Linked DNA regions of Notamacropus eugenii. Each later gene encodes a partner of the first gene's protein in a complex. Links are inferred from orthologs where the notes say so. Each region holds a gene or a part of one and is shown on either strand. Other genes may lie near its edges.

Region 1 (16,567 bases):
AAAAGGTAGTGGTACGGCTTCTTCTATCAGATAAATGGGGTTATATGAGGATTTATCATAATTCTGAGATAGTTGTCCTTGAGGGACAAGATTGTGGGGTTTTGGGCCATTGAGCTCAAGATCTGAGAACAACTCCTTTACCTAGTGATACTGAGGGGTTTAATTTTTCTGGAATGTGACTTAAAATTAAGGAATGAGACCCACAACCCATAGAATGGCTACAGGGAAGTAACTCACGGTGAATTCCGCACCCAGAGGCCACGGAACATTGGAGCGAGGGAGATTTCTGTTCCAGAGAGACCTGCAAACCTCTCGCGGGGGGGTCCTTCGCGCTGCGGACTGGGCGCCGGGACTGGGAGCAGAGGGCAGCCCTGCCGCAGCACCGAGAGGAAAAGATCCGAGCAGGCTTCACAGACAGGATCTCCAGCGGCCACGCGGGTCCCTCCACCCACAGAGGGATCTGCAAACCTCTCGCAAAAGGTCCGTCGCGCTGCAGACACAAAGCCCAGCCCAGACCTGCTGCGGCCACGGCCGCGGCACCAAGAGGAACAGATCCGAGCGGCCGCACAAGTCCCTCCACCCACAGGTGACAGGGGTGGGTGAGAGAGTCTCTTTGGTGGGTCGAGAGGGGAGTGGGGTGCCCCCATAATTCAGGCCCCCCCTGGGAGGTAGAAGCTGAGAGGTGGCTGCAGACAGGGGCTCCCCAAGCGGGCGGGAGCCTGAATCCATTGCGGAAGGTCTGTGCATAAACCCCCTGAGGGAACTGAGCCTGAGAGGTGGCCCTGCCCCGACCTCAGCACCAGAACATAATCTCATACTGAATAGCAGCCCTGCCCCCGCCAAAAGCCTTGAGGCTGGAAGCAGCATTTGAATCTCAGACCACAAACACGGGCTGGGAGGATCAGGAGGTGAGGTGGGTGTGAGGAAAATATTCAGAGGTCAAGTCACTGGCTGGGAAAATGCCCAGAAAAGGGAAAAGAAATAAGACTATAGAAGGTTACTTTCTTGGCGAACAGGCATTTCCTCCCTTCCTTTCTGATGAGGAAGAACAATGCTTACCATCAGGCAAAGACACAGAAATCAAGGCTTCTGTGTCCCAGCCCACCCAATGGGCTCAGGCCATGGAAGAGCTCAAAAAGAATTTTGAAAATCAAGTTAGAGAGGTGGAGGAAAAGCTGGGAAGAGAAATGAGAGACATGAAGTCAAAGCATGAACAGCAGATCAGCTCCCTGCTAAGGGAGACCCAAAAAAATGTTGAAGAAATTAACACCTTGAAAACTAGCCTAACTCAATTGGCAAAAGAGGTTCAAAAAGCCAATGAGGAGAAGAATGCTTTCAAAAGCAGAATTAGCCAAATGGAAAAGGAGATTCAAAAACTCACTGAAGAAAATAGTTCTTTCAAAATTAGAATGGCACAGATGGAGGCTAATGACTTTATGCAAAACCAAGAAATCACAGAACAAAGAGAGAAGAATGGAAAAATGGAAGATAATGTGAAATATCTCATTGGAAAAACAACAGACCTGGAAAATAGATCCAGGAGAGACAATTTAAAAATTATGGGACTACCTGAAAGCCATGATCAAAAGAAGAGCCTAGACATCATCTTTCATGAAATTATCAAGGAAAACTGCCCTGAGATTCTAGAACCAGAAGGCAAAATAAATATTCAAGGAATCCACAGAACACCGCCTGAAAGAGATCCAAAAAGAGAAACTCCTAGGAACATTGTGGCCAAATTCCAGAGTTCCCAGGTCAAGGAGAAAATACTGCATGCAGCTAGAAAGAAGCAATTCAAGTATTGTGGAAATACAATCAGAATAACACAAGATCTAGCACCCTCTACATTAAGGGATCGAAGGGCATGGAACAGTATATTCCAGAAGTCAAAGGAACTAGGACTAAAACCAAGAATCACCTACCCAGCAAAACTGAGTATAATACTTCAGGGGAAAAAATGGTCTTTCAATGAAATAGAGGATTTTCAAGTATTCTTGATGAAAAGACTAGAGCTGAAAAGAAAATTTGACTTTCAAACACAAGAATGAAGAGAACCATGAAAAGGTGAACAGCAAAGTGAAGTCATAAGGGACTTACTAAAGCTGAACTGTTTACATTCCTACATGGAAAGACAATATTTGTAACTCTTGAAACATTTCAGTATCTGGGTACTGGGTGGGATTACACCTGCACACACGCTCACATACATAGAGACAGAGTGCACAGAGTGAATTGAATAGGATGGGATCATATCTTAAAAAAAAATGAAATCAAGCAGTGAGAGAGAAATATATTGGGAAGAGAAAGGGAGAAACTGAATGGGGCAAATTATCTCTCATAAAAGAGGCAATCAAAAGACTCATTAGTGGAGGGATAAAGAGGGGAGGTGAGAGAAAAACATGAAGTCTACTCTCATCACATTCCACTAAAGAAAAGAATAAAGTGCACACTCATTTTGGTAGGAAAACCTATCTCACAATACAGGAAAGTGGGGGATAAGGGGACAAGCAGGGTGGGGGGGATGATAGAAGGGAGGGCATGAGGAGGAGAATGCAATTCGAGGTCGACACTCATGGGGAGGGATAGGATCAAAAGAGAATAGAAGTAATGGGGGACAGGATAGGATGGAGGGAAATATAGTTAGTCCTATACAACACAACTATTATGGAAGTCATTTGCAAAACTACACAGATATGGCCTATATTGAATTGCTTGCCTTCCAAAGGGAAGGGGTGGGGAGGGAGGGAGGAAGAGAAGTTGGAACTCAAAGTGTTAGGATCCACTGTCGAGTAATGTTCTTGCCACTAGGAAATAAGAAAAACAGGTAAAGGGGTATAGAAAGCTATCTGCCCCTACAGGACAAAAGAGAAGATGGAGACAAGGGCAGAGAGGGATGATAGAAGAGAGAGCAGATTGGTCATAGGGGCAATTAGAATGCTTGGTGTTTGGGGGGGGAGGGGATAAAAGGGGAGAAAATTTGTAACCCAAAATTTTGTGAAAATGAATGTTAAAAGTTAAATAAATAAATTTAAAAAAAAAAAAAAAAGATTGTGGGGTTTTTCCCACTTCTTTTTAACTCTCTATACTGCTCCTTTCCATAACTCAATAAATGTTGATGTAGGCAGTTTATCCCATTAAATATGACACAGAAAGATTTATAAAGGGTGTGATTTGGTCATAAAGGTTAATGTTTGACTTTCTCAAAATCATATCAGCTGGCAGGACATGGTGGTGCACATCTGTAATCCTGACTGCCGGGGGAGGTTGAAGGTGGTAGATCATTTGAATTTGGGAGTTCTGTGCTGGAGTGAGGCTAAAGTCGATTAGTAATTGCATTAAGTCTGGTGCCAAAATTGTTAGCCCCTGGGAGTGAAAGGAGTGTAGGCTGCCTAAGCATAAAGCTGCAAACCAGCACAGAGAGAGTGAGAAAAAAAGAGCAGGTTAAAGCTTGTAAGCCAAATAGTACTGGGATCAGGTCCATGAATGGTCACTGAACTTTCACCCTAGGCAAGATGGGGAAATCCAGTCTCAAAAAATTAAACAGAACTCTGTTTTTCTCTCTTCTTTCTATATATGTTTAATTTATATATGTAGATATGTAGATATCTATCTCAAAAATTAAACAAAAACAAATATATATGTATCTATCTCTCTATTCAGCTTTACTAATTCCTGATAGTTTTCCCTATCTTTCTTATAGAATCACAGATCAATGATCTATTCTGTCTTTCATTTTTAATTACATGAAACAGTATTAAAGTAACAAGTCAAAATGGATAGTCATATGAAATATTTTCTATCTTTTTGTAGAGTATAATCCTGAAGGACTTCACTGTAAAATGTAGTCTGGAAGTTCCCAAACTTCTTAGTTCATGTTACCTTTGATGTCTCAGTAATTTTTTTCACAGTACCCATAGACCAAAGTTCTAAGTAGTTAGGTCTAAACAACTTAGTAAGGATGCATGTGGTAACATCTTAGTACATTTTAAAAAAACACCCATAAATTAAAAGACAATTTTTCTTTCATTTTTGATAATTACAATTACTTACTGATGGGATGTGTGTGTTTATTGGGCACTGCACAACTTCTTGGCATCAGACTGGACATCACCACACACATTTCCTGTTTACTTTTTTTTTTTTCCAATCAAAGCAACTGCCAAAAACCCAGCTTCAAAAGAGAAAATTCAAAAAGTTACTGGCATATTTGAGAGTACAAATAAACAAAAACCTATCTCAAACACTTGAGAATGTTATCAAAAGGAAGGTAACATGATTTAATGTTTAAACTGTGAACTACCTCAAGATAGTAGAGCATTATTTGATATGTTCAAATATCACTGTGTCTCCCTTAAAAGTGTAAAGTATCCCGTGATACCCCTGAGACTTCACTATGGTGCTCTGGAATGCAGTGCAGCACAGTTTGGGATCTATGGGGACTTCAAAGAGAGAAAATAATAATTTTTAATAATAATAATAGTAATTTTTAAAAATTTCTTAACTCCCAAATATACAAACTTTCTTTGATTTTTTTCGTCTTTCCTTAGCCAGCGTATAAAAATATGACTGTAGCAATGAAGAGAATTGGGAAAGAGAAGAAAACTGTAAAGGCTCAAGCATAAACTAGGAAATAATAATAAAATATGCTTGAGAATAAACTTATGTACTGGTTATGGAAGGCTCCATCCAACACCGCTAGGACAAAAAGAGAAATAATACTAGGAAAGCAATATTCATGTTTGGTCCTGATTGACAAGCAAAAACTCAATTAAAGGTTGGGCAACCTTAGAAAGGCAAGTCTTTAATAACATAGGTACATTATGGGGCAGTATGGAGATTGTCTGTGACATAAGGGCAACTAGGTGGCACAGTGGATAGAGTGCTGGACCTGGAGTCAGGAAGACTCATCCTTCTGAGCTCAAATGCGACCTCAAACACTTCTAGCTGTGTGACTCTGGGCAAGTCATTTAATCCTCAGGTTCTTCATCTGTAAAATGAGTTGGAGAAGGAAATGGCTAACCACTCCAGTATCTTTGCCAAGCAAACCCCAAATGGTGTCACAAAACCCCCAGATGGGATCACAAATAATCAGAAAGGACTGAAAAAAACTGAACAAATGTGACATAAAGCCAAAAGCTCCATCCTTTTCAGTAGCTGTGAGTTCATATCAAACCTCTGGTCCTATTGTACAATAGATTTGAACTTAGTTTGGCTCATAACTAACATGAGTTACTGAGGTCATTCACATGGGAAATAATGTAACTCTGCCCCAGGGGGAGGCCAGGATTATGTGTTGGTCAGTGTGAACCAAAGATAATTCACACTAGCATATCCAGATCTGAATCTTAATACTGGAAGCCAACTGGGATAAATATGGATAAGCCTTCAGAGGCAAAAGTTAAGAAAACTAGATATGTTCTCTTTGTTGACATTCTCCAGAGGAAAAATATACCAAAAAACAATGCCCAGAAAAGTATGTTGAAAATACCCAATGGAAGTCTGAGATGTTCTAGGAACTCCTAAAGCCAGCAATCTCTACCTGGAGAGAGGAAGATTGGAAGGTTTGGATGAGGAAGCTATAGGGAGGTCAGAAACCTTGGATCATGAATGTGGGTCAGAAGCCGACAGGACTCAGACTTGGATGGCAGTACTCAGACAGGACATTCCATAGGTTTTTGGAGTCCACAGCACTCTGACCTAAGACACACCAAAAGTTCCTGAAGATTTAGAACTCTGAACCACTATGATCTTGGGGCACCAGAAATCCATGAACATTATAAGTGCAGAAATACCAGAAGTAGAAATCAGTGGCAGGAGATCAGGTAATTGACATCAGGATTAAGTATGGTCAACCATCCCCGCCAAGAATACAGATGACAGAACCTGGCTCTGCCACAAAACCCTAATTCAGAAACTGAGAGAGATGAGTAAACAGAAGAAAACATTAACCATAATACAAAAGTATTGTTGTCCCAGAAATACCCAAAAGTCTAATATAGAAGAAGAAACAAACTCCACGAGTAGAAGTAGAGACTTAGAGAAAAAAACTGCTCATCCACAAGGTCTACAAGGGTTCCTAGAAGAAATGAAGGAAGAGTTAAAAGATGAAATTATAAATGAAATAAGATCTTTGGAGGAAAGGCATATCAAGAGAATATGTGACTTAGAACAGTAAGTGGTAAACCCAACCCAAGCATAATAGGCCAGGCTTCACTTATGCTGGTTAGGACACTTGAGATGAAGACTGGAACAAAATGAAAGCTTTGTAGAATTCTGACAATTAACAAAAGGAGGTTTAATTAGTTATAGCAGAAGGAGGATATTAAAAGCAGGGCAGCCAATATAGATCACTGACTCAGTTGCATGTAGTTTTCTTGCCTCTCTTTGGGGTCCAGTTCCTGCTGATTTTTGTACTTAGCTCACCAGGAAGTTATACCAAGTCCAGGACTTTTGTCCCTAAACTAAACCTTAAAGATGATTCCAATATTTTTTAAGGAAAAATATGTGGAGGAGGCCCTGCAGAACACTTTTCCCACCCACCAAGTAACAGACTTCATGAAATTTAAATGAACCAAGTTGAAATTAATGACTATGAGAAATTAAGAAGTACTGGAACAAAATAAATAATTGAAAAGATAGTAGAGAATGTATGAAATGTAATAAGATCAAAACAGCTGATCTCAAAACTGGTCAAGTAAAGATAATTTAAGAATCATCAAATTTCCTAAAAGTCATGGCTTTCCATAACTGTGCTGATTCCCACTCCTGCACCCCCCAAAAAGCTTGGATACCAAGAAGTAATCAATAAGAACTGCACAGAATTTTTAGAACCAGAGACTAAAGTGAAAATAGAAAGTTAATAAATTATAGGGAGAAAAAGACAGTAAAATTATAATAGTTGGAGATCTCAATGACCCACTTTCAGACCTAAACCAAAAAGAAAAAAGATCTAAAAAAAAAGATAACTTCCAAAAACGTTAGAACCTGATAGAATTTTATAACAGTAAAGTATGATAGATGTCTAACAATTACTTAATGGGATTAAAAAGAAATTTACATCTTTCTCAACCGAGCTTAGCACCTTTACAAAAACATTGCATATATTAGACCACTTGTTTTTCACTTGTTTCAATCATGTCTGACTCTTTATGATCCCATTTGGAGTTTTCTTGGAAAAGATAATGGAATGATTTGCCATTTCCTTCTTGGTTTATAGATGAAGAATTGAGGCAAATAGGGTTATGTGATTTGCACAGGGCCACAAAGCTAGTAAATGTCTGAGGCCAGTTTTGAACTTAGAAAGCTGAATCTTCCTGACTCTAAGTTGGGCACTCTATCCACTGTGCCAGCCCACATTAGGGCACAGAAATGTCAATAGGCAATCACAACATCAGAAGACTTATGTGAAAACTAGGGTTATTGCAGGAGAAATGAACATGCATGTGAAACCCAAAGAGGTCATAGTCCTTGCAGAATTTTGCATATTTATGAGAGTACAACAAAGGGGAAGAGAAAACAGGAAGGGGCATGGTAAGGGAGGGGAAAGGTACAGTAAAAAGGGCAGGACCAAGGAAATGGTGAAAGTCCAATTCTTTTCCCTTGGGAACTGCTTGACTATGAAGACAGGAGGGTCTGCTTATCTCTGCAAAGGACCTCAGGTGCACAAGCATTTTTCCCAGGGTGATACATACTGTCTTGCTTCCCAAGGACACACAGGGAATCCAGTTTGGGTGCAAACAACAAATTATGTCACGAGGGTAGGGTTTCCTCCTTGACACATTCAGGTCTTCCTGCGCTCCAGATGTAGTGACTCGAAAAAATGGCAACTCAAAAAGCCAAGTTCAGGGGACCCCTTAACAGAAGCTTCATAAACAAATGCAGAAAAGCTGAATTATCAGACCTTTACTGTCTAAGATGAAATAAAAATTATAATCAACAAAAACTTGAGGGAAGGGGGGCTCAAAGAACAAATCAGAGAAACAATTGATAATGACATCAAAAAAAGTAACAATAATGAGATAATAACCCAAAACTTCTGGCATGCAGTCCTTAGGGGGAAAACAAGACTATAATCAACAGCAATAACAAAAGCAAGCTGTGTATAACAGAAATTTAAACGCAATCCTCTTTTACTGCCCTACTTTGTATACAGAAATGCTGCTTTTACTTGGTGTTTGCCAAGTAAAATTTCTCATGTAAAAAAAATAAAAATTATTTAGGGAGAAAAATTGTCTTTCAGACTTTTTGGTGTAGGAAAGCAGTCACCCATTACTACTCCATAAATATTCCAAGTGGTTTTGTATACTGAGGCAACCTTTATGGTAACTAAAGAGACCCTGAAAGGAGCTGTTCCAAGGATGTTGCTGAAGATTGGTTTCTCATTCCAGCTCATCCCATGGTGGCATCAATTACTCTGCATTCATCCTTTGTTGTGCAAGAAGACCATACCATTGGAGAAACGATGACATGACTTGCACTTGACTTCCTTTTGAGTAAAGGAGGGCTCTGCAAGGTCACCAGCCTCACTTTCTCCTCCTGAGCCATCTGGGTCCAGTGACCAGATATTCATCAGGACGGCTGGAGATGGCCGAGAATGCAGTCAAGGGTGAGGTAACACCCAGTCAGTGAACAGGCCTGTAGTCAGGGGATGGCCCCTTTAATAAGGCAAAGAAAAAATAACTACCTCAGGCTGGGAGGAAAACAGCAACAGTTCCCACTGATACCAGTCTTAAGTCAGGAGGGTCTAGAAAACAGCCCTTAAGTGGAGCTGGGGCAGTGGTCTCGTGTGTTACAATCTGTGGGCTTCAGAGCAGGTTTAAGGGGAGGGGGAAGGGAAGGGAAGGATCGAGCCAGTTAGCCCAAGTTCCCTGGGCATCCTCTGGCCACCCAAACGTACCTTCCTTTGGAGAGGAGAAGGGAGGGGAGGGGGAGACAGACGGGACAGGGGCACCTGAGTCCCCATGCAGCCTTCGCTCTAATGAAGGCGTTGTGGAGATCACCACTAACGCGAAATGCAGATAGAGATATTCCAGTCTGGTGTTACTAGGGGTCCATCCTCACCTTGCTACTCTTTTAGGAAGAGTCTGGTTCTAAGTTCCCAGCCCTGAATGGTCCTCTAGGAACTGAAGGGTCGTCTTGGTGAATGAATGGGACGTCATTATTGCATAATTTATTTAGAAATGGATGTGACCTACCCAGCAAAACTGAGTATAATACTGCAGGGGAAAAATTGGTCTTTCAATGAAATAGAGGATTTTCAAATTTTCTTGGTGAAAAGACCAGAGCTGAAAAGAAAATTTGACCTTCAAACACAAGAATGAAGAGAACCATGAAAAGGTGAACAGCAAAGAGAAGTCATAAGGGACTTACTAAAGCTGAACTGTTTACATTCCTACATGGAAAGACAATATTTGTAACTCTTGAAACATTTCAGTATCTGGGTACTGGGTGGGAGTACATACACACACATGCACACACGCACACATACATAGAGACAGAGTGCACAGAGTGATTTGAAGAGGATGGGATCATATCTTAAAAAAAAATGAAATCAAGAAGTGAGAGAGAAATATATTGGGAGGAGAAAGGGAGAAATTGAATGGGGCAAATTATCTCTCATAAAAGAGGCAAGCAAAAGACCTATTAGTGGAGGGATAAAGAGGGGAGGTAAGAGAAAAACATGAAGTTTACTCTCATCACACTCCACTAAAGGAAAGAATAAAATGCACACTCATTTTGGTAGGAAAACCTATCTCACAATACAGGAAAGTGGGAGATAAGGGGATAAGCAGGGTGGGGGGGATGATAGAAGGGAGGGCATGGGGAGGAGAGTGCAATTCGAGGTCGACACTCATGGGGAGGGACAGGATTAAAAGAGAATAGAAGTAATGGGGGGCAGGATAGGATGGAGGGAAATATAGTTAGTCCTATACAACACAACCATTATGGAAGTCATTTGCAAAACTACACAGATTTGGCCTATATTGAATTGCTTGCCTTCCAAAGGGAAGGGGTGGAGAGGGAGGGAGGTAAAGAAGTTGGAACTCAAAGTGTTAGGATCAACTGTAATGTTCTTACCACTAGGAAATAAGAAATACAGGTAAAGGGGTATAGAAAGCTATCCGGCCCTACAGGACAAAAGAGAAGACGGAGACAAGGGCAGAGAGGGAGGATAGAGGAGAGAGCAGATTGGTGATAGGGGCAATTAGAATGCTTGGTGTTTGGGGGGGGAGGGGATAAAAGGGGAGAAAATTTGTAACCCAAAATTTTGTGAAAATGAATGTTAAAAGTTAAATAAATAAATTTAATAAAAAAATAAATAAATAAATAAAAATAAAAAATAATAATAATAAAAAAAGCATACTGAAAAAAAAAAAAAGAAATGGATGTGGACCGATTTTGTGATCTCGAAGGCACTCTGGGTTTATTAATCTACCATAAGCCTCTATTGATCGACACTTCTCAAGCTCGCCCTAAACTGGGCTGACGTTTAGGACTGAACAAGAAACAAAAAACTGTAACTAGGCAACGCTCCAGGGAAGCTGCCTTAGAGCCAACGCCGGGTTACGCCCTGAAGGGAGGAACTTGGAGCGCGAGGCACACTGGGACTGGTAGTTTTTTACAGGTCTAAACTAGCAGCTGCAGAGCCAAGCGAGTGCTGAACTACAGTTCCCAGAAAACACAAAGCGTACTTGCATAGCACTCTGGGATTGTAGTCTTGCTCTCGGCAGGAGGAGTTCCAGAAAAAGTGTTAGGAGAAATCAGGGACAGTCTCCAGGACACTCAAGAGATTTCCAAGACACGGATAACGCGGCCTTGGTTTGAGAAGGATTAATTCGCCTCTTGTAGCTGTGGTAGTTACAAGAAAGCAGCAGCCGCGGTGGCGAAAGCACGCCATGACGTCATCACCCTGCCCTTTACCCTTCCCCGGGACACGTGGTGCCCTCCGAGGGGGTGGAGAAAGGGTTCGGCTGCCGCGTCCCGGGAGTCGCGTGACCCAAAGGCCGCGTGACGATTGGTTTTTAGCGGGGCGGAGTCTCGGAAGCCTCGGCTGCCCGCCTTCCCGGGGGGTGGGCGGAGCCATGGCGGTGGCCGTGGGAGGGCTGGACGTCTCTCTGCTGTGGCATTCGTGGAGTAAGTGTCTGTCGGCCGCCTTCCTCTCCCTCCTACCCCTCTGCCTTGAGGTGCTTGGCAGCTTCAGGCCGAGCTTCGCCTTTGCCCCCGAATCGGGCATTGGGAGGTGGGAGAGAGGGCGGCTCCGGGGGCCAATCCAGTCCGGACCCCAGGGCGGCCCGGAAGTGGGAGTCGGGAGGGTCCCGAGCCCCGGGAGGAGGTGGGCCCCCCATGGGGCTTCGTGGCAGTCCTTCTGAGCTCCATTGGGGCCTTTTTAAAGGGAAGCGTGGAGTCAGGGCCCCCTGGTAGAGATTCCTGAGCCTTTGAGAAGACTCACGGTTCCTGTACACTTTTCTTGCCCCCACTGTCCCCCCGACGGCGGTGCTCGGTGGAAGTAACTTCTCCTCGGGGCCTCCGCGCCCCCCCTGCCCGTGCCTGCCCAGCGCTTCTGCTGGGTCGTCTGCTGCTCAGGAAGTTAAAGATTGAAGGTCACGATGGTCCTGCGCTGAGATTTGTTAGACGGCGTGGAGCTCCTTACAAAATAGCTCAGAATTCCTCGCAGATGTGTTCTTTTTTTTATTTTCTGGGGATGGGGCGAGGAGGACTGTGGGGAGGCGTTTGTATCAGAACGTTTGGAGTTAGGGAATCCTCCCTCACACGCTCAGGACCTAGGGTACCCTGAGCAAGCCGTCTAACTTAAGAACGTCACGGTGCTGATTCACCATCCGCCTTAGAAATCTGGGTGGAAAGTGCTTTGCAAACCCTCGAGTGTTACGTAGACGTGATATCCCTGTTATCTGAAACAGGGACTGGTGTAGCTTTGAAAAGTGGGAACTACAGGAGGACGAGCAGGCCCTAACTTTCTAAACTTTAAATCTTTCCACGTTATATAGAAGAATGGTCAGATGAATGGGCCAGAACATTTAGAAATAAGGTTTGAAAATATAGTTGGAATTGTTGAAAGTTATTGTGTTCATCCTTCGTTTTTGAAGAAGACCATGCCATCAGAGAAATGATGACATGACTTGCACTCGACTTTGTTTTCAGTGAGGGAGGGCTGTGCAGGTCACCAGCCTCACTTCCTCTCCTGGGCTGTCTTGGATCCCGTGAACAGATACTCCTCAGGAAGACTGGAGATGGCCCAGGATGCAATTAGGAGACCTTGACCTAATTAGGCAGGCCTTTTCAGGTACTCACTTAGAGGGAGGTAATGCCCATTGAGTGAATAGGTTTGTTTAAGAAGTAGTCAGGGGATGGCTCTTGGCCCTTTTAATGAACAAAAGAAGAAAAAATAACTAAATCAACCTAGGAGTAAAAAGGAGCATGAGGCATTGATTAAATGAAATGATTATGTGTATGGTTGGCTTTCCATACTGCATCCATGGGCCCTGGGCCTCTAACCATCACATAATTTAGACTCCTTTTTTGTTTAATTAATGCACTACCAAGATTACAATCATGCAGAGGCAAGTTAGTGTGCCTGAGTGGAAGCCTTTCTAGAAAGGAATGGATGTCTTTTAAAGTTTAATATATAGAGGTACCACCTCACATCTTTTAGAAGTAATAAATGCTGGAGGGGATGAGGGAAAATAGATACCGTAATGAACTATTGGTGAACTAGTGCGCTGAGCAGACTATTCTGGAAAACAATTTGGAACTATGTTCAGAGTTATAAAACTGCATATCCTTTGACCCAACAATACCATTAGAAGTTCTGTATCCAAAAGAGATCAAAGAAAAATGGAAAGTAACTACATGTCCAGAAATATTTATAGCAGTTCTGTTTGTGGTAAAGCATTGGAAATCAAAGGGATTCTCATGAGTTGGGGAATGACTAAACAAGTTGTAGCATATGATTGTGTTGGAGTACTGTTGTGCTGTGGGAAATGATGAGGTGGAGGACGTTGGTAGTTTCAGAAAAACATGGCAAGAACTGTATGAAATGATGGAAAGTGAAATGAGAAGAATTGGCATATCATAGTGTATTGTAAGACCAGCGCTGTAATGGTAGTCAGCTCTGAAAGACATGGCTAGAATGGTAACAGTGATCCAAGATAATTCCAAAAGACTTGATGAAAAAATGTTATCCACCTACAGAGAGAGAACTGATGAACTCTGAGTGCAAATTAAAGTATAATTTTCTCCCTTTATTTTTCTTGTTTGAAATATGGCTCATATGGAAATATGTTTTGTGTGATTTCACATTGATGTCATATAAGAGTGAGAGGGAGGGTGAAGATTTAGAACCCCACATTTAGAAAGAATGAATGCTAAAACAGATGATAAATTTAAAATATATTTTTTAAAAAGTATAGAGAGATAAGGAAAAATATAGATAAAATACATTTAAAAATTATTATTTATATTAATGGACCTGGAATTGTTCACTTGTACCCAACTTTTGGTGACCCTATTTAAGTCTTGGCAAAGGTATTAACTAAGATATTGGAGTAGTTTGCCATTTCCTTCTCCAGTTCATTTTACAAATGCGGAACTGAGGCAAACAGAGTTAGGTGACTTGTCCAGGGTCACGCAACTAAGAACTATCTGAGGCTAGATTTCAACTCAGGAAGATGAGTTTTCCTGACTCCAGGTCAGGCAGTTTATCCACTACATCACCTATCTGTCCTGTCATGAATTGGCTTTATTGTACTATACATGGCACTTCATAATTTTTCGGTACTTATCTTTTATGTCTTAATAGCATTATACTTAGCTATGTTAACCACTAGTCATTATCTGCCACTTAGGTTTATTTAGTATATATAATTTTTAATTGCTAGGAAAAGGGTAAGTAAATAGTAAATACAGCACCATTTAGGGTATATACATATATGTAAAAGTATCTATTGGAATGCATTTTGCTTGAGTTTTGTTTTGTTTTTTTTTTATTTCCTTTACCAGGTAACAAATGGCTTCTGTCTCAGTGGACTGCTGTGAGGACTGATGACTAAACTTCATCTTAATATGGCATATAGAAGAGTAAATGGGCACGAACAGTCCATCACATCTAAACCCTCTCATATTGACTGTGGAATCCATCAACTGCATAGAACTGGAGCACATAATATCTGCATGGTGTCTGATTTTTTTTATCCAAATATGGGAGGAGTGGAAAGCCACATATACCAGCTATCTCAGTGTCTGATTGAAAGAGGACACAAAGTCATCATTGTCACCCATGCTTATGGAAATAGAAAAGGTATTCGATACCTTACCAGTGGCCTCAAAGTATATTATTTACCGCTAAAAGTCATGTACAATCAGTCTACAGCAACAACCCTCTTTCATAGTCTGCCTCTGCTCAGGTACATATTTGTTCGGGAGAGAGTCACCATAATCCATTCACATAGTTCTTTTTCTGCCATGGCCCATGATGCACTCTTCCACGCCAAGACAATGGGTCTACAGACAGTCTTCACAGACCATTCTCTTTTTGGATTTGCTGATGTCAGCTCGGTGCTTACAAACAAACTTCTAACTGTATCTCTTTGTGATACAAATCATATAATTTGTGTCTCTTATACTAGCAAGGAAAACACTGTTCTAAGAGCAGCACTGAATCCTGAAATAGTATCCGTCATCCCCAATGCTGTAGATCCTACTGACTTCACTCCAGACCCATTTAGAAGGGATGATAGTGTAATAACTATTGTTGTAATCAGCAGGCTTGTTTACAGAAAAGGTAATGAATGAAATTGTAAACTAAAACTGCCATTCACAGAGAAGTTTCTGTAATAGTCTATTTAATGTCAGTTAATTATTTTGCTTTTTAACTGTTTTCATATGTGCTTATATATTTTCATACTTTGGGTACATCTGTGATCTTACAAATTGAATATCTCCTCAATTGAGATAGATCGTAACTCTTGCATGTTTGATTCTTGTCCATCTCTGTCCATAAATCCTCCATAGGATTGCAGTTGATTAAATAGTAATGGGAGGATTAATAATTTATAAATCCAGTAGGCAAAGTTACATATTTATTTCAAATTGAGGGTGAATGTTTTAAAAAACATGTTTTGAAAATATTTTTTAAAAAATACTGTTTACATAGTTTAACTCAGAATTTGGTAATTATAACTATGCTAATACTACTTGGATAATATTTAAGATACCACTTCTCATTGCAGTATGTATTTTATAAGGTTAAAGTATGAGAAATGGGAGAAGCAAACCTTGCTGTTAGTGAAAATCATTGGTATTATTACTGTATACTTAAATTATGTGTTCTAAAATTGTAAGATTGGATTCTGAGAGACTCTCTCTTCAATATGAGTCATCAAAAGATAATCTCTGTGGGGAAATGCGTCTGTGTTCCTTAGCCTTAGATTCTTTTTTGTCTTAGATTAATCTGCTGATGATTTGAGAAGAAAAACTTGGTCAGGGTACAGTAAAAAGAAGCCATTTGTTTCTGGTCAGTGTCAATTATTGGTTCTGTACAAGGCCTCTTCATGGCCACTGTCCTGTATGCTAACAAGGTGAAGTTCAGTCGCACGTAGTGTAGAGCATCAAAGGGAATTGAGGGATATAGAAATAGGACATGGATGAAAACAGACCATGTGAGAGCAACTGTCGAGACCACCAAGAAAAGGTTGTACCTGTAAGTTCAGTGCAGGATTCAATGAAAGTTCAGTGAAAACCCAAGGAATATTTGGGGCTAGATGGTAAAGGCTTTTCTTCAAGTAGATGTTTTTTAAGGTTTCTTTCAGATTTGTGATTGTGGGTGTGAGATGAAGAGTAGAAATGAAGATTTCTAGATACTGTAAACTTACCAACTGAATTTTTTCTCAGTTGAAATAAAGCTAGAGAGGATCAGTTCCTCCCTAGCCCTAGATGAGTAGGAGGTGTACATTGTCCCTCTCTCTGAAACCAAGTTTTGATAGTAGCCCTAATGATACACAATCAGCTAGGTTTGATCTGAGGCATTGAAGCTCTTACAGCAAGGTTAAAAGATCAGGTAAGGTGAGCACGGAATTAGTGAATAATGCTCTTTACTTGACAGTAACATCTCACACATTTATTCTTTTTCATTCTTTTATTATGTTGACATACCTTAAGTAAGATGTGTGCTGTTTTTTCCCCCATCGTAGCACAATAGCTTTCTGATTCATTTATACTCTTTTGCCAGTTCTCTTTTGGAACAATAGGATGCTTGTGTGAGATGATTAGATAGAATTAGAAGTGCAATGAGCGTATTATCATAGAACAGAGAATATCTAACCGACCTACATAGCATAGCTAACAGGCCCTGATCCTCATTAAGATATTTTAACCAAATGTGAACTAACTAGCCACTGGAGTGAAGTCAGTCATCAGTGACTTACTGGTTAAACATTTATTGTGTGCTTACTTTATGCTGGACATTCCTATTGTTAGGAATGCAAAGAAAGGCAAAAGATCAGTCTCTACTTTCAGGGACCTTATAGTCTAACGGGAAAGATCATACATAAAC
Region 2 (16,072 bases), about 46 Mb from region 1:
ATAAGTTGCTTGCTCAAGCTCTTGAACGCTAAGCTAAAGGGCAGGGTAAGGGGGGGATGGGTTTGTAGTTTTCAGCTATATAACCATGCTTCTGCACTGTGCCTTTCTTCTCTAGATTGCCTAGTGAAGGTGACACCCCCTTCTCTTGAGAAATGAATAAAGGGCTTTCTGTTTGTACCTTGAGAGGCCTCTGAGTAATCAATTTGAGTAGGAGTCTGGCCATCCCACACACCTCCATGACCACTAATCCTTGTGATATTAAATACTTTCCTAGGCCATCACCCCAGCTCTAGTTCCACTTTCTTCTCTTCCCAATATGAACACCTTGATGAACAGGTTCTGTTCTGCACTATCCTTTATTCTTAGACCTCTTGTTCCCTTATCCCACTACACCTTAACAAACCCCAAAACTGAGTTACTCCTACTCACTCAATGCTGACTTGAGCTAGAAGTGACAATGAGTCACAACACATTTATCAAGTGGCTACCCTATACCTATCTCAGCTACTGTTAAAGCCTGGAAATGCAAAGGCAAAAACCTAGTCCCTGATCTCAAAGAACTAGCTTACATTCAAATGGGGAAGACTACATGCAAATAATTATGTAGAGACAAAATATATACACTATACATAAGAGGTAATCTTTTAGGAAAGACATTAGAATTAAGGGGGAACTGGGAAAAAACATGTGAAAAAGATGGGATTTGAGTTGAGACCTGAAGAATCCAGAGAAGCCAGAGAGAAGAAAGAGCAGACACACCGAAGGGAAACCATTCCAGAAAGCCACTGGGGACAACCAGTGAAAAGGCATGGGAGCAGAGAGGTCAGTGTCACTGAATATTACAATATGTGTAGAAGAGTTGTGTTAAGAATGAAAGATACAAACAGGCTAAGTCATAAAGGGTTTTAAAAGCTAAACAGATGACATTTTATTTCATCTTGGAGGTATTAGGAAGCTACTGGAGTTTATTGAATTGGCAGGTAACACTGTTAGACCTGTGTTTTAAGAAGATGAATTTGACAGCTGAGTAGAGGATACACTAGAGGAGAGGTGGGAACCCTGCAGCCTCGAGGCCACATGTCACCTAAGTTTTCAAATGTGGCCCTTTGCTCTGTGAGATTTGGATTCAGTCAAAGGGCAGCACTTGAGGACCCAGAGGACCACATGTGGTCTCAAGGCTGAAGGTCTCCCACCCCTGGACTAGAGGGAGGAGAAATTTGAAATAGGAAGACCAAAAAAGAAAGCTAAATGCAATAGTCCTGACAGGAAGTGATGAAGGCCTGAACCAGGGTGGAAGTTGTGTCAGAGAAGAGATGGGGGTATATCCAAAATGTTGCAAAGGGAAAATCAACAGGGTTGGGTCGGTGCCATGGTATGAGGTGAGAGATAGTCAAGGATGACACCTAGGTTGTAAGCCTGGGAGATTAGAACATCAGTGTTGCTCTCAATAATAAGAGAGAAATTTGGAACAAAGGAGGAAAGATAATAAGTTCAAGATATCTGTGTGAAATCCAGTTTGAGATGTTTGAGACAGAGATGTGAGACTGGAGGTCAGCAGAGACATTAGGGCTGGATAAGCATATCTGAGAATCACCTACATAGAGATGATAAGGAGGCATAACTTGGTTAAAAATAAAAGGAGATTGATGTTACTGTCAGAGACACACTAGGTTGTAAAGACCTAGGCCTAACAAAGCTCACTGAGTTAAGCATCCTTGCAGTGGACCCCCAAAGTGCCACTTACCACAACTTTCTTTGCCAAATCCACGATATCCTCCAGTAATTCAATATGCTGCAGTCTCTTCAAACTTAATTCACAAGTACTAGAGCTATTTAAAGAAAAAAAATTGTTTTAGAAATGGGTAAGGTTTTATATTGCCTGATTCTGAAGATTTGTATTAAAATTCAATTGTATATAATAATAGCTAACATTTACATAACATTTAAGGTTTACAAAGTGATTCATAGAGTTTATCTCATTTGATTCTCATAACTGAGCAAACTATTGGACACCCTCCTCTCCATTCTACACAGTACTGATGATTAATTATTATAATAATCCTCAATCTTATTTTTTTTTATGACTGAGGAACTGTAAGTTTCAAATATTTGGAACTATAGGTTAGAAATCAACCTTTAAGAGATTAACAGTTTGTATCTAATGACTGAAGTAGAAGAATATGAAATAAGCAGGGACAGGGAACCTTTGGCCTCAAGGTCACATGTGGCTTTCTAGGTCCTTGGATGTGGCCTTTTGACTGAGTTCAAATTTTACGGAACAAAAATTCCCCCTTTTCCTAAGGGGATTTGTTCTGTGAAGTTTGGATTCAGTCAAAGCACTGCACCTGAGGACCTAGAGGGCCCCATGGGGCCTTGAGGCCACAGGCGCCCCACCCCTGAGTCCAAATACAATCCTTCTGCCATACTTGGCACTGGTGATGTCTTTTATTGGTTACGAATGCAGCTTTGGTCTTCTTTTAAGAAATATGTGAATAAACTGTCAAGGCCAGATCACAAAAATGATTAAAATGACAGAATAGCTAAGGAGGTAGAATTGAATAAATCACCACTGCATTCAAGGAAGGGAAGGATTAAGAAAAAACAGGATGCTAAACAGTTGATAGAGTTTTTAAATGGCATTAAGGTACAATAAGGATTTTAACCATAAAAGAAGAAATACAAGACTGTGACAGTTACTAAGTAACATATGAATGAGTTACATAATCTCTGTCCTTAATTCTATGTAGATATTTAAATATATTTTGTTTAATGTGTTTAAATTTAAATGCGTAAATTTATTTAACTACTGAAATGGAGCAGATATCTAACTGTACCTGGAAATAAGTAAATGAAACACATTATCTCAAGCTTTTTTTCTACTTTTAGGAATCATTTTTCAGGAAAACATAATATTCTCTTAAAAGACAAATAAAGCAACAAAACCACATAAATAACAAGACTTGTTTACCTGATGTCTATACAAGGATGTAATTGAGATACTACAGGATTCTGTTCACGTTGAAAAAGAAGTGGCCAGAAGATGTATATTTTAATGACATCACAGTAATCTCGAAGAATATGAAGTGGCTTACTACACCAGATTTTGCAGATATCCAGTTCTTTATTTAAAAAAAAAAATTAAATTAATATTGCTAGGCGTTTTCAGTAGAAAAAAGCATGGGTAATGAGAACATAAAGCATAGATTAGAAAATGACAAGGAAATCAATATGCTAGAAGTACTAATGGTTGTTTAAGATTTTTTGGCAAGTTATTTTTAAAAAATTCTGAAATTCAAAGTAATTACAGGAGCAAAATTTTTAAAGAAACATAACACCACACATGAACATGAATAGATTTTGTTAATTCTTCTATTATACCATCAGTGAAAAAATAAAGGTTCAAGTGCTAAATTGCTCACCTAGATTTGCCTTAACTTGTGAAAATTTTCTAGGATATGCACCACCCTGAAAAAGAAAACATGTTTTGTTGCTCTTTGGTAAAAACATAGTAGCATATTCAATTGGACTGGTAAGCTATAAATATAATATATGTAAATAAATAAATACAAATATAAAAAGCTACACAAAACAGTATAACATGTGCTGTTTTAATCTGTAAACTTCTGGGTAAGGTCACTTCTTTCAATCTACCAGTCACCAAGTTCTTTTCCAGTAGCTATCATGCTCCCTTCTACAATTTTAAATTACCCAATTTTGGTTAAAAATATAACTATGACCTGTCACGTAAATGAGTTAAACTCAAATTCATTTGTCTCTATTCTGATTACATATATATCTTAATCTTTAATCTATCACATTATTGTCTTCTGAGAAATAGAAATGCAACAAAGTTAGCTACAGCCAACATAGTACATTTCTTGTCCTACTTAAAAATTATTATTGCATTATTATGGAATTTTTTATTCTGAACTTAAAACACCAAAAAATAGGGATTTGTCTTCTCCTAGCTCAGCTCATGATACCCAGGATTCATGGCAGTTGTCTCTTTAACCATGTCTTATGGTAGAATAACATGTCAATACATTCATATACCACAATTTGTTAAGATATTCCCCAATTGCTGGGTACCCCATCAGATTCTAATTCTTTTTTTTTTTTTAATCAGGAAGTCTGTTTTGCTCGCAATTCTTTCTTCTCTTTTACTCTCACTTTTTTTTCCTTTCTTTCAGAGCCAATCCACCTCCAAGATCTGTTTTCTTACTTTATTTCCTCAGTACCTTATGAAGAAATTAAGGCACTTTCTTATGAAGAAACAGACACTTGCTTCTTCTCCCATCAATATGTTAGTACTATGTCATCATACAACCCTTTGCAACTGCTCAAATAAATTTACTTTCTAGGTTTCACTGGACATAAATTTATATGTCAAAGTTCCTACTCAGCTCTGTTTTTTTCATCAGAAATGCTTGGAACTAAGTCTTCTAGTCAAGGGATCAGCAAATTATCAAAACCTTTTTGTATGTCTAGTGAGCTAAGAATAGTTTTTTACACTTTTAAACAGTTTTACTATAACATAAACATGCTCATTTAATTACATATTGTCTATGAATGCCATTGAATTATAAAACACCATAGTCAAGTAGTGGTAACAGAGATCCTATATGGCACTTTCATTACATCTCACAGGGACTCAGATCACAACAAACTGTTGTGACGTAGTTATAATTTGACATTGCTTCAAGTGTCACCTGTATTACCATATTTCAACATTTTTTCATTACCATTGTATGCCTATTATGTCAAAACAGAAAAAAAGAAAAATGTTTTATTATAATTTTTTGAGCTCAGGGTTGAGACTGAAGTTTTTCTGAACAAGAAACCATTGTTATCAAACACTGAATGGCTGTGGAAATTAATTTTTGCTGCAGACTTGACAATGTTTCTTAATGAATTCGACCTAAAATTTCAAGGCAAAAGAGTGCTTATATACAAAACTTATAATCAAGTCAATTTAATAACAATATTTTTAAATCACAAGTAATGTTAAGTTACTTCATATACTTTCCACACTGTTTAAAATTAAGAGACAAGATTTCCATTCTAATACAAATTTGCAGTGAATGTATTTCCTGAGCTCAAACTACAGTTCCATCATTGGAACTTGATACAAATACAAAAGAAATTTCAATATGTTCATTTAAATGTGCAAATGAAGAACTTTTACCAACCTTCAATTGGAAGTGATTAATATGCAACGTAATGACTTGCTAAAAGGCAACTATCAAGAATCTAACAGGATTACATAAATGTCTTCCAAGAGCCAAATATGTTAAACAGTATATATTCATAGGCTGATATCAGTATTTGGCAGTACCTATCTGTGTGAAAAGCCATTTTCAAAGATGAAATACATAAAATACCATTACAGATCAGCAATAACAAATAAACATCTGCAACTGATTCTGATGACAGGGAGTAATAGCTTTGAATTCCAATTATGTGAAATATCATCTCCCCTAGAAAAGAATTTCACTCTTCTCACTAGTTGATCTGTATTACAAAATAAACTAACTGTACATGTTATTATATTTTGAATTTCATCCATTAAAACTGTTTGTAAATTTGTTTTCTCATTATATAAATATCTACAGAATACTCTCAATTTGGCTATTGGCCCACAAAGTCAAAAATATTTACTATCTGGTCCTTTATAGAAAAAGTTTGTCAACTCTGATCTAGTCCACTGAAGCTTCATTTTTTTCCTCTATAGAATTATGCTGAGTTATGCCAGCTAAGTCATTTGTGGTTCTAAGTCTGATTTGGGGGCATCTCTAGAACAGGAACTTTTTTAATATTAATTTTACATTAGCTTCTTTGGGTTATCACTCTAGCTTTGTGCTAGGACCAGGGTTCTCCCCCCGCTGTACTCTTGGGTAGGCTCATTGACCTTCCTTGGTTTTATCCTTGTTCCTGAGTTAGTGTTAAATATCTATTTTCCAAGACTGGGACTGTCCCTCTTTGTCCCAGATCTTTGATGTTCAGACACTGGATCTTCAAGGCCCTCTACTGCTCCTCAGAACAGAATGTTATGAATCTTGGAGCCCACCTGGGGACTTTCTTGGGTGACCTCACTGCTTTCCCTGCTTCCAGACCAAGAGTCAAGCGGACTACATGTGACTGTGGCCCGGGTCTGGTTATTCTGGGAAGCTACTAACTTGTGGATGAGTTTTTTGGCTTTGTTAGTATCCTTTATTCCTATTGCCCTTGGGCTTCTGGCTGAATTTTTGTGCAGTTCTGGGATGAAAGAAATCACTCTAGTTTCTCATTGGATTTGATTATTTGGGGGTCTGATGTAAATTTTAGGCTTTTATTAGACAAGGTCAAGCATCCATCTTAGCTGGAATCCATTATTAATTTTTTTTTTAACAAAGATCTCTTTTATATTCACTGCTCCTCTACTGAACTCTTATAGAAGTGGCGCAGGGCTTTCACATGCTAACACATATAAGGCTAACACATCACAGACTCTACCTTCCCACCAAATAAAAGACATCTGCAGTCTGACATTTAGCTTAAGTTTGGAGAGCTTAAAACCAGGTTTTTAGCTAAAAAATCACCTTTCAGAGATTGTCCAAGAGAAATCAAAAAGCTGCAATATGAATCAGAGAATGAAGTATCAACCACAAAGAGAAAAAAAATTATAGATCCTATAAGTAGTGAAGTAAGCCTTCAGAGATCCAAATTCCACACTGAAAAGTGTTAAATAAGAACCTCTGGAAGTTCTTATGCTCCTGCAATAGTTCTGTAAATCCTGCAGCAACAGAATGCAAGTCCACAATAAGAGATCGCTGGAATCATTGCTTGAATATAGCTATCAAAAAAGTCAAGTACCAATCAAACACACAGTAATTTATCTCAGGGCTTAGATACAAGGGTAAAAAATACAAAGATAAAAATGAAGTAGTCCATACCATCAAATAACTTACAATTCTATCAAGGGAGATTGCAACAAAGTATATATGGGATGGGCCCCACCACAGCTGGGGAGGATCAGGAAAAACAAGCTAGGAAGTAGAACATGTCACTTGTCCTTTCTTCCTCTCACTCTTTTCTCCTATTGGGAATTTCTTATTTTGATCATTTCATCTGTTCTCATCAGAGAGGATCAATGATTTTAATAACTGGCTGATAAAAGGAAAAATGTGATTTCTTATAATGATTTGCCATATGAACCAAACTTCTCTTCTACATAAAGCTACTTTTAATTTCTACCCTCAACATACACCCTCACCAATAATGAGGTGAAGTAGACAAAATGTAGAAATTAGAACCAAGAAGACTTGGATTCCAATCTCACCATAGGCATTTAATAGCCTTGTGACCCTGGACATGTTAAACTTTTCTCAGCCCTGATTTCCTTATCTATAAAATGGCACTATAAAATGGCAATAATAACAGCACCTACCTGCAAAGGTTGTTGTGAGGACCAAACGAAACAATATAGGTTCAGTGTAAAGGACTATATAAATCCTACCTATTATTATCACCATCATCCTCCTCCCTTTTTAGTTTCCATCATCTCACACACTTGTTCTTTTTGGGCAGCTCCTTCCCTTTTTCAGCTTTCTCTTCAAAAGCACAGATGGCATCACAAATCACTCTGAATGACTTACACATTGGCTTTGAATATGAACTTTAAAATGCATTTGATTTTTTAAAAAAACTCACCTGTTCACAGCAAAGTTTAGTAATGCGAACATAACTGCTGCCAATTAAATCTGCCTCAGAGATGGAATTCTCCATTGCGCATGATCCTAAAGGCCAATAAAAACAAACTCCAAATCAGTAAACAATACAAATTATGAAAGTGAATCTTATCTTTGTCACAATCAAAACAACAATAGAAACAGCCACTCATTTTTACAGTTCCTGAAGTGGGTGGAGGGGAGTTTCAGTGAAAAAAAAACACTGGCTCTGGAGGCAGAAGATCCATGCTCAAATCTCAGCTCTGGGCTTCCAGTGAAACGAAAATATGAGAAATTGTAAAGGAAACCAGATTTTCCATATACACTCCAGTTAAGATCCAAAGAGCACCAGACTAAGAGAAATGCAGATCAAAATAACCTTCATCCTAATTCTTATCAAACTGGCAAAGATGACAAAGGACAGTCCATGCTGGAGGGACTGCAGAAACACCAAAATGCGTTGTTGGTGGAGCTGTGAACGGGTACTATTCTAGAAAGCTATTGAAAGTATCTGAAGAAAGTGATAAAAAAAGTTCACACCCTGGAATCCAGACACTTCACACCGGGCACCGCCCCCCGCCCCCCCCCCCCCCCCCCCCCCCCCCGATAAAGTCAAAGACGGAAAGAAGGGATCCATACAGGTCAACCACACAAATGTAATGGAAAACCACTTGGTTGTAGGATAAAGCGAAAACGTAAAGAAGCTCGCTCTGACGCAGAACACGACAGGAGCTCGATCAGGACCAGGAACTACCCGGGGCAGTCCTGCCCACCAAACAACTCCTCCGGGCACGTCCACAGGTGTGGAAGGGGGTCAGCTCGGCGCCTTAATCCCTTTTCCTTCCTAGGACACGGTGGTGGCAACGGCTCTCTGGAGGGGCAGGAGGGGCCCGGGAGGAGCCCAGGTGACGGACACCCAGGACGCAGTCACAGACCCGAGGGCCGGGGCCCAGGCGGGCCGGAGCCGGGCTGCAGGAGCGGGAGCCGCGGAGCCCAGCCCTCCCATCCCGCGGCCGGCCCCGGGGGGCTCCCGAGAGGGGCCCGGACGCGCCGGGAAAGGCCCTGCCGGGTCTCTCAGTATTCACCTGGGGGGAGCGGAGGTGGACGGGGAAGGGAGGGAGGCGAGCGGGGCCGGGGTGGAAATGGCAGCCGGGCTGGCCGCAGGCTTATTTCCTGTCAGCAGACGACCGGCCGGGGCACACAATAACAAGTGGCTGGGGAACACGGCGCTGGCAGCCTCCGATGGGGGGCGCGGATGACGGGCACGACGACGGAAAGAGCAGGTAGAAAGAACGCGCGTGCCACACACAAAGACATGCCGGACACACACACGCAGGGCACCTATCCACGCACGAAGGGTGTGTGCAGACACGCAAGTCAGACAACACTGGCTGCGGGAAGGCCACGGGCTGGCAGAGGCGAGAGACGCGCAGATGTACACGCATCCTTACACGGACACACGGACACACAGACACACGGACACACACTCACCGGACACGCCACGAGCGAGCTTTAATCCGCGTCCACGTCCAGAAGCAGGTCTCAGTCCGGAGGCAACCGTCAGGACCACGTCACTGACCTCCAGAGCGGGGAGGGAGAGCCGCGGACGGAGGAAGGAGGCCGGCCGTCACGTGAGCAGCGCGCAGGCGCGCCTGGCCCCGCCCCAGCGCCCGCTCTTCCTTCTCCCCCCTTCCTCCCCGCCCCCTCTGCCGCAATCCGCCCCGCCCCAGAATCCCGGCGCCCGGAGCAGAAAAGCCCCCCTCCCTCTCCTCCCCGGCCTCCTGGGTGGCACCTGCGCACACAGGTTTGGCCTAGAGCTTCCGAAGCCGGCAGGCAGGAAAACTGGTGCGTCACAGTGCAGAGAAAAGGGGCCCCCTGCTGTGATCTCGCCTCTCCCCCTCCGCGGCGGCGCCCCCGAACCCCCCCAGCCCCAACCCTGGAAGGAAAGGCAGGGTCCCCGGGAGAAAATGAAACGTGCCCTGGGCCCCCGTGTCCCTGCAGGTGCCCCAAAGAGGCGCAACCCCGGGGGAGCCCGGCTCCAGCCGCGGAGCCTCGCCCGAGATCCCCGCCGTACGTGGTCTGCGACGGGAGGACGAGCGGGGCGAGCCGAGGCGGTCCGGGGGAGGGGAAGGGCCGAGGGCGCACCCACGCTCTGCACGGGGTCAGTGGCGAGTGACCCGCTGTCTGGTGCTTCCCGCCCTCAGGTTCCCCAACGCTCCGGAGGCTATGGTGGAGAATTCCCCGTCCCCGCTGCCGGAGAGGGCCATCTACGGCTTCGTCCTGTTCCTGAGCTCCCAGTGCGGGTTCAGTAAGTACGGTTCCGACGGAGCGCCGGGTCCAGACCGGCCGGGAGGCTCCTCGGGGTGATACCGCGAGCTGGTGACACCCCGGGGTAGGGTCCAGCCTGCTGCACCTTGGTGTCACCTTAGGGTCTGTGGGGCACGGAGAGGGACGTGGAGATTGTGCCGTGCGGTGCTACCTGCGTGAGCCGCAGCCCCTGACCTCCGGGCCCCTTGTGTGGAGTGGGCTTGGGAACGTCTCATTTAGGGCATTCCCCTTCCCTGCGCATACCCGCCGCACCTAGCTGAGGCACTCACAGGAAGGCCAACGTGGATGGCCGGAGGATGCCCAGCCAACGTGGGGTGAACAGGCCCCTTCCTCCCTCCCTCCCTCCTCCTCCTCCCTCCCTCCCTCCTCCTCCCTCCCTCCCTCCTCCTCCCTCCCTCCCTCCTCCTCCCTCCCTCCCTCCCTCCTCCCTCCCTCCCTCCTCCTCCCTCCCTCCCTCCCTCCTCCCTCCCTCCCTCCTCCTCCCTCCCTCCCTCCTCCTCCTCCCTCCTCCTCCCTCCCTCCTCCTCCCTCCCTCCCTCCCTCCTCCCTCCCTCCCTCCTCCTCCCTCCCTCCCTCCCTCCCTCCTCCTCCCTCCCTCCCTCCCTCCTTCTCCCTTCCTCCCTCCCTCCTTCCTCCCTCCTTCCTCCTTCCTCCCTCCTCCCTCCCTCCCTCCCTCCCCCTCCCTTCCTCCTCCCTCCCTCCTCCTCCCTCCCTCCTCCCTCCCTCCTCCTCCTCCCTCCCTCCTCCTCCTCCCTCCCTCCTCCTCCTCCCTCCCTCCCTCCTCCTCCTCCCTCTCTCCCTCCTCCCTCCCTCCCTCCTCCTCCTCCCTCCCTCCCTCCTCCTCCCTCCCTCTCTCTCCCTCCTCCCTCCCTCTCTCCCTCCTCCCTCCCTCCCTCCCTCCCTTCCTCCCGTCCCTCCCCCCTCCCTTCCTCCCTCCCTCCCTCCTCCTCCCTCCCTCCCTCCCTCCTCCCTCCCTCCCTCCTCCTCCTCCCTCCTCCCTCCTCCTCCCTCCCTCCCTCCCTCCTCCCTCCCTCCCTCCTCCTCCTCCCTCCCTCCCTCCTCCTCCCTCCCTCTCTCCCTCCTCCCTCCCTCTCTCCCTCCTCCCTCCCTCCCTCCCTCCCTTCCTCCGTCCCTTCCTCCCTCCCTCCTTCCTCCTCCCTCCTTCCTCCCTCCCTCCTTCCTCCCCCCCTCCCCTCCCTCCCTTCCTCCCTTCCTCCCTTCCTCTCTTCCTTCCTCTCTTCCTTCCTCCCTCCCTCCCTTCCTTCCTTCCTCCTCCCTTCCTCCCTTCCTCCCTTCCTCTCTTCCTCCTTCCCTCCCTCCCTTCCTTCCTTCCTTTCTTCCTTCCTTTCTCTTTCTCTCTCCCTCTCTCCCTCCCTCTCTCCCCTCTCTCCCTCTCTCCCTCTCTCTGTCTCACTGTGTCTCTGTGTCTCTGTCTCTCTGTCTCTCTCTCTCTGTCTCTATCTCTGTCTCTGTGTCTCTGTCTCTGTGTGTGTGTGTCTCTCTCTCTCTGTCTCTCTGTCTCTGACTCTGTGTCTCTCTCTCCCTCTCTCTCCCTCTCTCTGTGTCTCTGTCTCTGTGTCTCTCTCTGTCTCTGTCTCTGTGTGTGTGTGTCTCTCTCTCTCTGTCTCTGTCTCTCTGTCTCTCTCTCTGTCTCTGACTCTGTCTCTCTCTCTCTCTCTCTCTCTCTCTGTCTCTCTCTCTGTCTCTGTCTCTGTCTCTCTCTCTCTCCTGGACCCTCCTGGCTTCAGAGTGATGATCAATAGTCATTGTTGCTCTGTGCAGCCCTCGCTCAAAACAAGTCATGTCATCATTTCTCTGATGACATGCTCTTTGAAAACGAAGGACGAACACAAACAAAACCTACCATGAGACATTTTGCATTACTGCTTAGAGGATTGATCCTGCCTCTCATGCATATTAGTTGAGGAAGCGGGTAAGTCACCTGCCTTCAGATTACCCCAGCAGCTTGCTGAGATCAACTACTGCTGATTTACTGATTTGCGGTAGTGCATTATGGCTAATTTCTAAACAGGGAGTTCCACACAGTGATGAAATCACATCTGGACCTGATAATATTTACAAAAACTAAATTGCAGACCTTTTCAGAAACATGTCAGTTCTGCAAAGTGAACCATAACTCTTTATAGACAGTGTTTGAAATCTGGGGTTATGGAGATCTCTAGTCTACAATCGAAAGTTTGCAATTTGAGCAGTTGCACAGCATTGACTAGTTGCTGTCCACAGTGGGATCTGGGCCTCACTTGTGAGATTGCTTAAATGTCCCATTCCAGAGGAATACAATTCTTTTGACCTTTTAGGCCATTATCATTTTGGTTGACCATCTCACCGGAATACTGTTAGAAGTAGAATGCTTTAAGTCCTTCTGAAGTTTTAGAGTTATAAGATAAAGCTGCTTAGGGAATCTAATTAATTTGGTGAGTTCTTCATTTAACTTAATGAGATGATAGGGAGTAGAGAAATTGAAAGGGCACTTTCCATTTAGAATCCACAGGGATCTTGCAGATAGGAAATTGGGAGCTTTGGATGACTGAAGTTCATGGGGATGAAATTTTATTAGAAAACCAAAGATTTTCTTTCATCAGAAAACAAGAGTAAGATAATAGACCAATGCATGTTCTTGATCTTCAGCACTGTTCTTCTTCTTTCAGAGTGTAGGAAGGGGAATGGAAGGAATTTCTCCCTTTTTCCACCTCTCCTTTCCACCCTCAACCCACCAGAGTAGTTGATGGCAACTTGCAGCTGAAGCACATAGCTTAGATAGATCTTTTTGCACACAGATACAGAAGGTAGTTCATGAACCCCAACTAGCAGTGTTTCTTTTGCAGTCCTTTGTATTTTATTTTAAGTATTTAAAAACATTTATCTCAGAAGTGGTCCAGAGGCTTTATCAGGTTGCCAAAAGGGACACAAAACAGGTTAGGAACCCTAGTTCTAGGAAAAAAGTTTTCCTGGTAAAGAATTATTCATGGAAAAGGGAAGAACATTCATCTTCTTTCTTTTCCTTTTACATTTGTTTGTTTTAATTTTTGCTTTCCTAATTGTTACCCACAATGCAACTTTCAAAGCTGGTGTTCCCCAAGATCATAGAATCATAGATGTAGGCCATCTATTTCATCACCTTCATTTTAGAGATGAAATGAGCCTGAGAGAGGTTAAGTGACTTTCCCAAGATCACACAGGTAATAAGCACCAGGATGTGAACCTAGTACTTTGACTCCAGGCAACTGTTGTTGTCTTATTTGTCCTTTGTTTTCAAAGAGGACCATGACATCAGGGAAATGTTGACATGACTTACATTTGACTTTGACTTCAGTGATGGAGGGCTGTGCAACGTCACCAGCCTCATTTTCTCCTCCAGAGCCATCTGGGTCCAGTGGCCAGATATTCATCAGGACAACTGGAGATGGCCCAGAATGCAATGGTTAAGGCCTTTTCAGGTTCTCACCTTGAATGAGGTAATGCCCATTAGGTGAATAGGCCTCTTTAAGAAATGAATCAAGGGATGGCCCCTTTAATTAGAAAGAAAAAAAATCAAGCTGTGAGAGGAAGACCCTTAGGATTGCTGTTCCAAAGAGAAACAGTTGCCATTGACATTGATGCTGAACCAGGAAGGCCCAATACAGCTGTTATGTGGAGGTTGGGTGGGGACCTATTGTGGTCCAATCTGTGAACTTCAGAGTGACCCTCACTCAAATCAAAGTCAACTGTAAGTCATGTCATCATTTCCCTGATGTCATGGTCCTCTTTGAAAGCGAAGGACAAACACAACCTGTGAGTAGACTGAGCTGCCTAAATGGGGACCCAGCCAATTGGGCAACTCAGCTCGTCCTCATCCTCTCCCTCTCCTTCTCCCCTCCAAAGGAAGGTAAATTTTGATGGCCAGAAGCTGCCCAGCTAACTTGGGGTTTACTGGCCAGATTTCTCCCCTGTACTAGCTAGTCTTTTCTTCTCTTTATCTTGAATCCATGGTGAACCATTTCAACACTACACTCCCCTCCTCTCTTGAATCCCTACCCTCTGTGTCATATCACTGATTACTCCCAGCCAAGCTTTAGCCTTGGACCACTCCCGTCATTTGTAGCCTTTGCTGCTACACGTGTTGCCCAACAAAGCTGGAGAAAATTGGACAACCATTCTGATTAGGTCCCCTAGAAATCTGTTACACAACCTCAGTTGTGACTTACTGCTGCTAGCCGGTCCTTCTATGCCTACATTATGAACTCAGTATCCCACTCTCCAGAGCAGTTCTTTAAACCTTTTCATGTCTTCTCAAGCCTCCCATGGTTCCCCTCCCTCCACCTTCTCATATAAGAATCTTGCCTCATTTTCAGAAAAATTGAAGCCATTTGCTATGGCTTCACTCCTCTTCATTTCATATCTCTCATACGCATTCTGGCACTATCTTTTCCTTCACTCTTGACTCACATGATGAAATAACCTTACTCTTTACCAAAGCTAACTGCTCTATTTGCTCAAGTAATCCCTTCTTATCTCCTCCAACAGATTTCTCCTGACATCATCACTGAATCACTTATTTTCAGTCTTTTCCTGTCTACTATCTAAACACACCTATGTCTCCCCCATATTGAAAAAAACTCTCACTTGATCCTTTCCTATCTTCTGCCCTTTGTAGCCTGCTGGTGAGTTAGCCTCCCTCAAGTATCCTCCTAGTTCAGACTGTCTTCCATTCAGCCATCAAAGTGATTTTCCTAAAGCACAGGTCCAACAAATCACCCTCTCCCCACTCCATAAACTCCAGTGGCTCTGGATCAAATACAGAATTCTCTGTTGGTCTTTCAAAGCCCTTTATAACCTACTCCCTCCCCTTCCTCCAGTTTTCCTACACCTAGTCCCAGCCACATGCTCTTCCATGCAGTTCTGTTGGGCTGTTCCCCAAACAAGACACTCCGTCTCTGCTCCAGGCATTTCCTCTGGTTGTCCCTCATGCCTGGAATTCTCTCCCTCCTCGTCTTCTCCTGCTGGCTTCCCCAGATGCCTTTTAAGCCCCAGCTAGAGTAAAAGCCCCTCCCAATTCCAGTGCCTTCCTTCTCTTAGTTACTTCCTGTTCACCTGTGTGTAGCTTATATGTGTATATTTATTGGTTTGCTGTCTCTCTTTAGACTGTGAACTCCTTGAGGTCAGGGACTGTCTTTCATCTCTCTCTTTATCCCCAGTTTCCAGCACGGTGCCTAATACATACTGGCTGCTCAATAAATGTTTGTTGATTGACTGCAGCACAGGTTCTCCATATCCCTAATGGAAAATCAGTCTGGTAGCAAGATGTGAAAGTTGCCTTGTGCTGGCACAGATAGCAGCCTGACTTCAGGGGAAATCAGAGCAGAAAATGGCATGGGGCCAGAGGAAGGGCTGGATCCTTCTCTTACCTGAGGCTGTAGATCAGACTGTTGTAGCAGAAGTTGGAGTCTCTTCATGAAGGGAGATGTCACTTTGAGGCAGATGGTAGTCACACTCTCTAACCTCTTGCTGCCTTCCCTCAGGAGAAATGACCAGCTGGAGATGGAGGACCGTCTCACTATACTATAGTGGCTTCCTTAGGAAAGCCCCCTTCTGTGGCTGAAAAGTTAGATTCTAGTATCACATTAGTATAAGGGTAAGAAAAACATATTAGGAAAGGCTGCCAGAGTAATGGTTATTGTTTTAGGGGACTACAGTGACTTCTTTCCCCTGACCCTATTTCTTTTTTTTTTTTTTTTAAGATAATTCTATAGCTCTCAACTTCTCTACCACCAAAGTTACATTTTTTTCCTATGGTGCACATAGCCTGTATCTGGTGATCTCTTCCATTCTTAAAACAGAAGGAATATCTCTTTCTTCTGATGGTGATGTTCATTTATCAGACCAGCTTATATTCCTTTCCCTTGCCTCATTACTTTTCCAGGCAGGACAGATTTGTCCTTGGTTCTGTCTTTGTCTATAGTTCCTGAGTGTTCTTTCAGCTGAGTTGGCAGCCAAAGCATCTTCACTCATTTAGTCCCACGGTACCATGAATAGGTCTA

The links.
Region 2: PIGA (region 1) and PIGP share a complex: the UniProt entries of both Homo sapiens proteins name them as parts of the glycosylphosphatidylinositol-N-acetylglucosaminyltransferase (GPI-GnT) complex. The link is inferred for Notamacropus eugenii from reciprocal best matches to the Homo sapiens genes PIGA and PIGP.

The regions. Positions count from the first base shown.
Region 1 is NC_092876.1:374,799,817-374,816,383, forward strand, and holds the start of PIGA (phosphatidylinositol N-acetylglucosaminyltransferase subunit A), read left to right. Parts: upstream 1-10,705; 5' UTR 10,706-11,133; exon of another isoform or gene 11,134-12,301; intron 12,302-14,016; 5' UTR 14,017-14,058; coding exon 14,059-14,797; intron 14,798-16,567. UniProt on the Homo sapiens protein: Catalytic subunit of the glycosylphosphatidylinositol-N-acetylglucosaminyltransferase (GPI-GnT) complex that catalyzes the transfer of N-acetylglucosamine from UDP-N-acetylglucosamine to phosphatidylinositol and participates in the first step of GPI biosynthesis.
Region 2 is NC_092876.1:420,366,548-420,382,619, reverse strand, and holds the start of PIGP (phosphatidylinositol N-acetylglucosaminyltransferase subunit P), read left to right. Parts: upstream 1-9,248; 5' UTR 9,249-9,337; intron 9,338-9,383; exon of another isoform or gene 9,384-9,551; intron 9,552-9,699; exon of another isoform or gene 9,700-9,910; 5' UTR 9,911-9,932; coding exon 9,933-10,014; intron 10,015-16,072. Other genes in the region: E3 ubiquitin-protein ligase TTC3, read right to left, coding at 1,745-1,829, 2,969-3,119, 3,420-3,465, 7,690-7,764. UniProt on the Homo sapiens protein: Part of the glycosylphosphatidylinositol-N-acetylglucosaminyltransferase (GPI-GnT) complex that catalyzes the transfer of N-acetylglucosamine from UDP-N-acetylglucosamine to phosphatidylinositol and participates in the first step of GPI biosynthesis.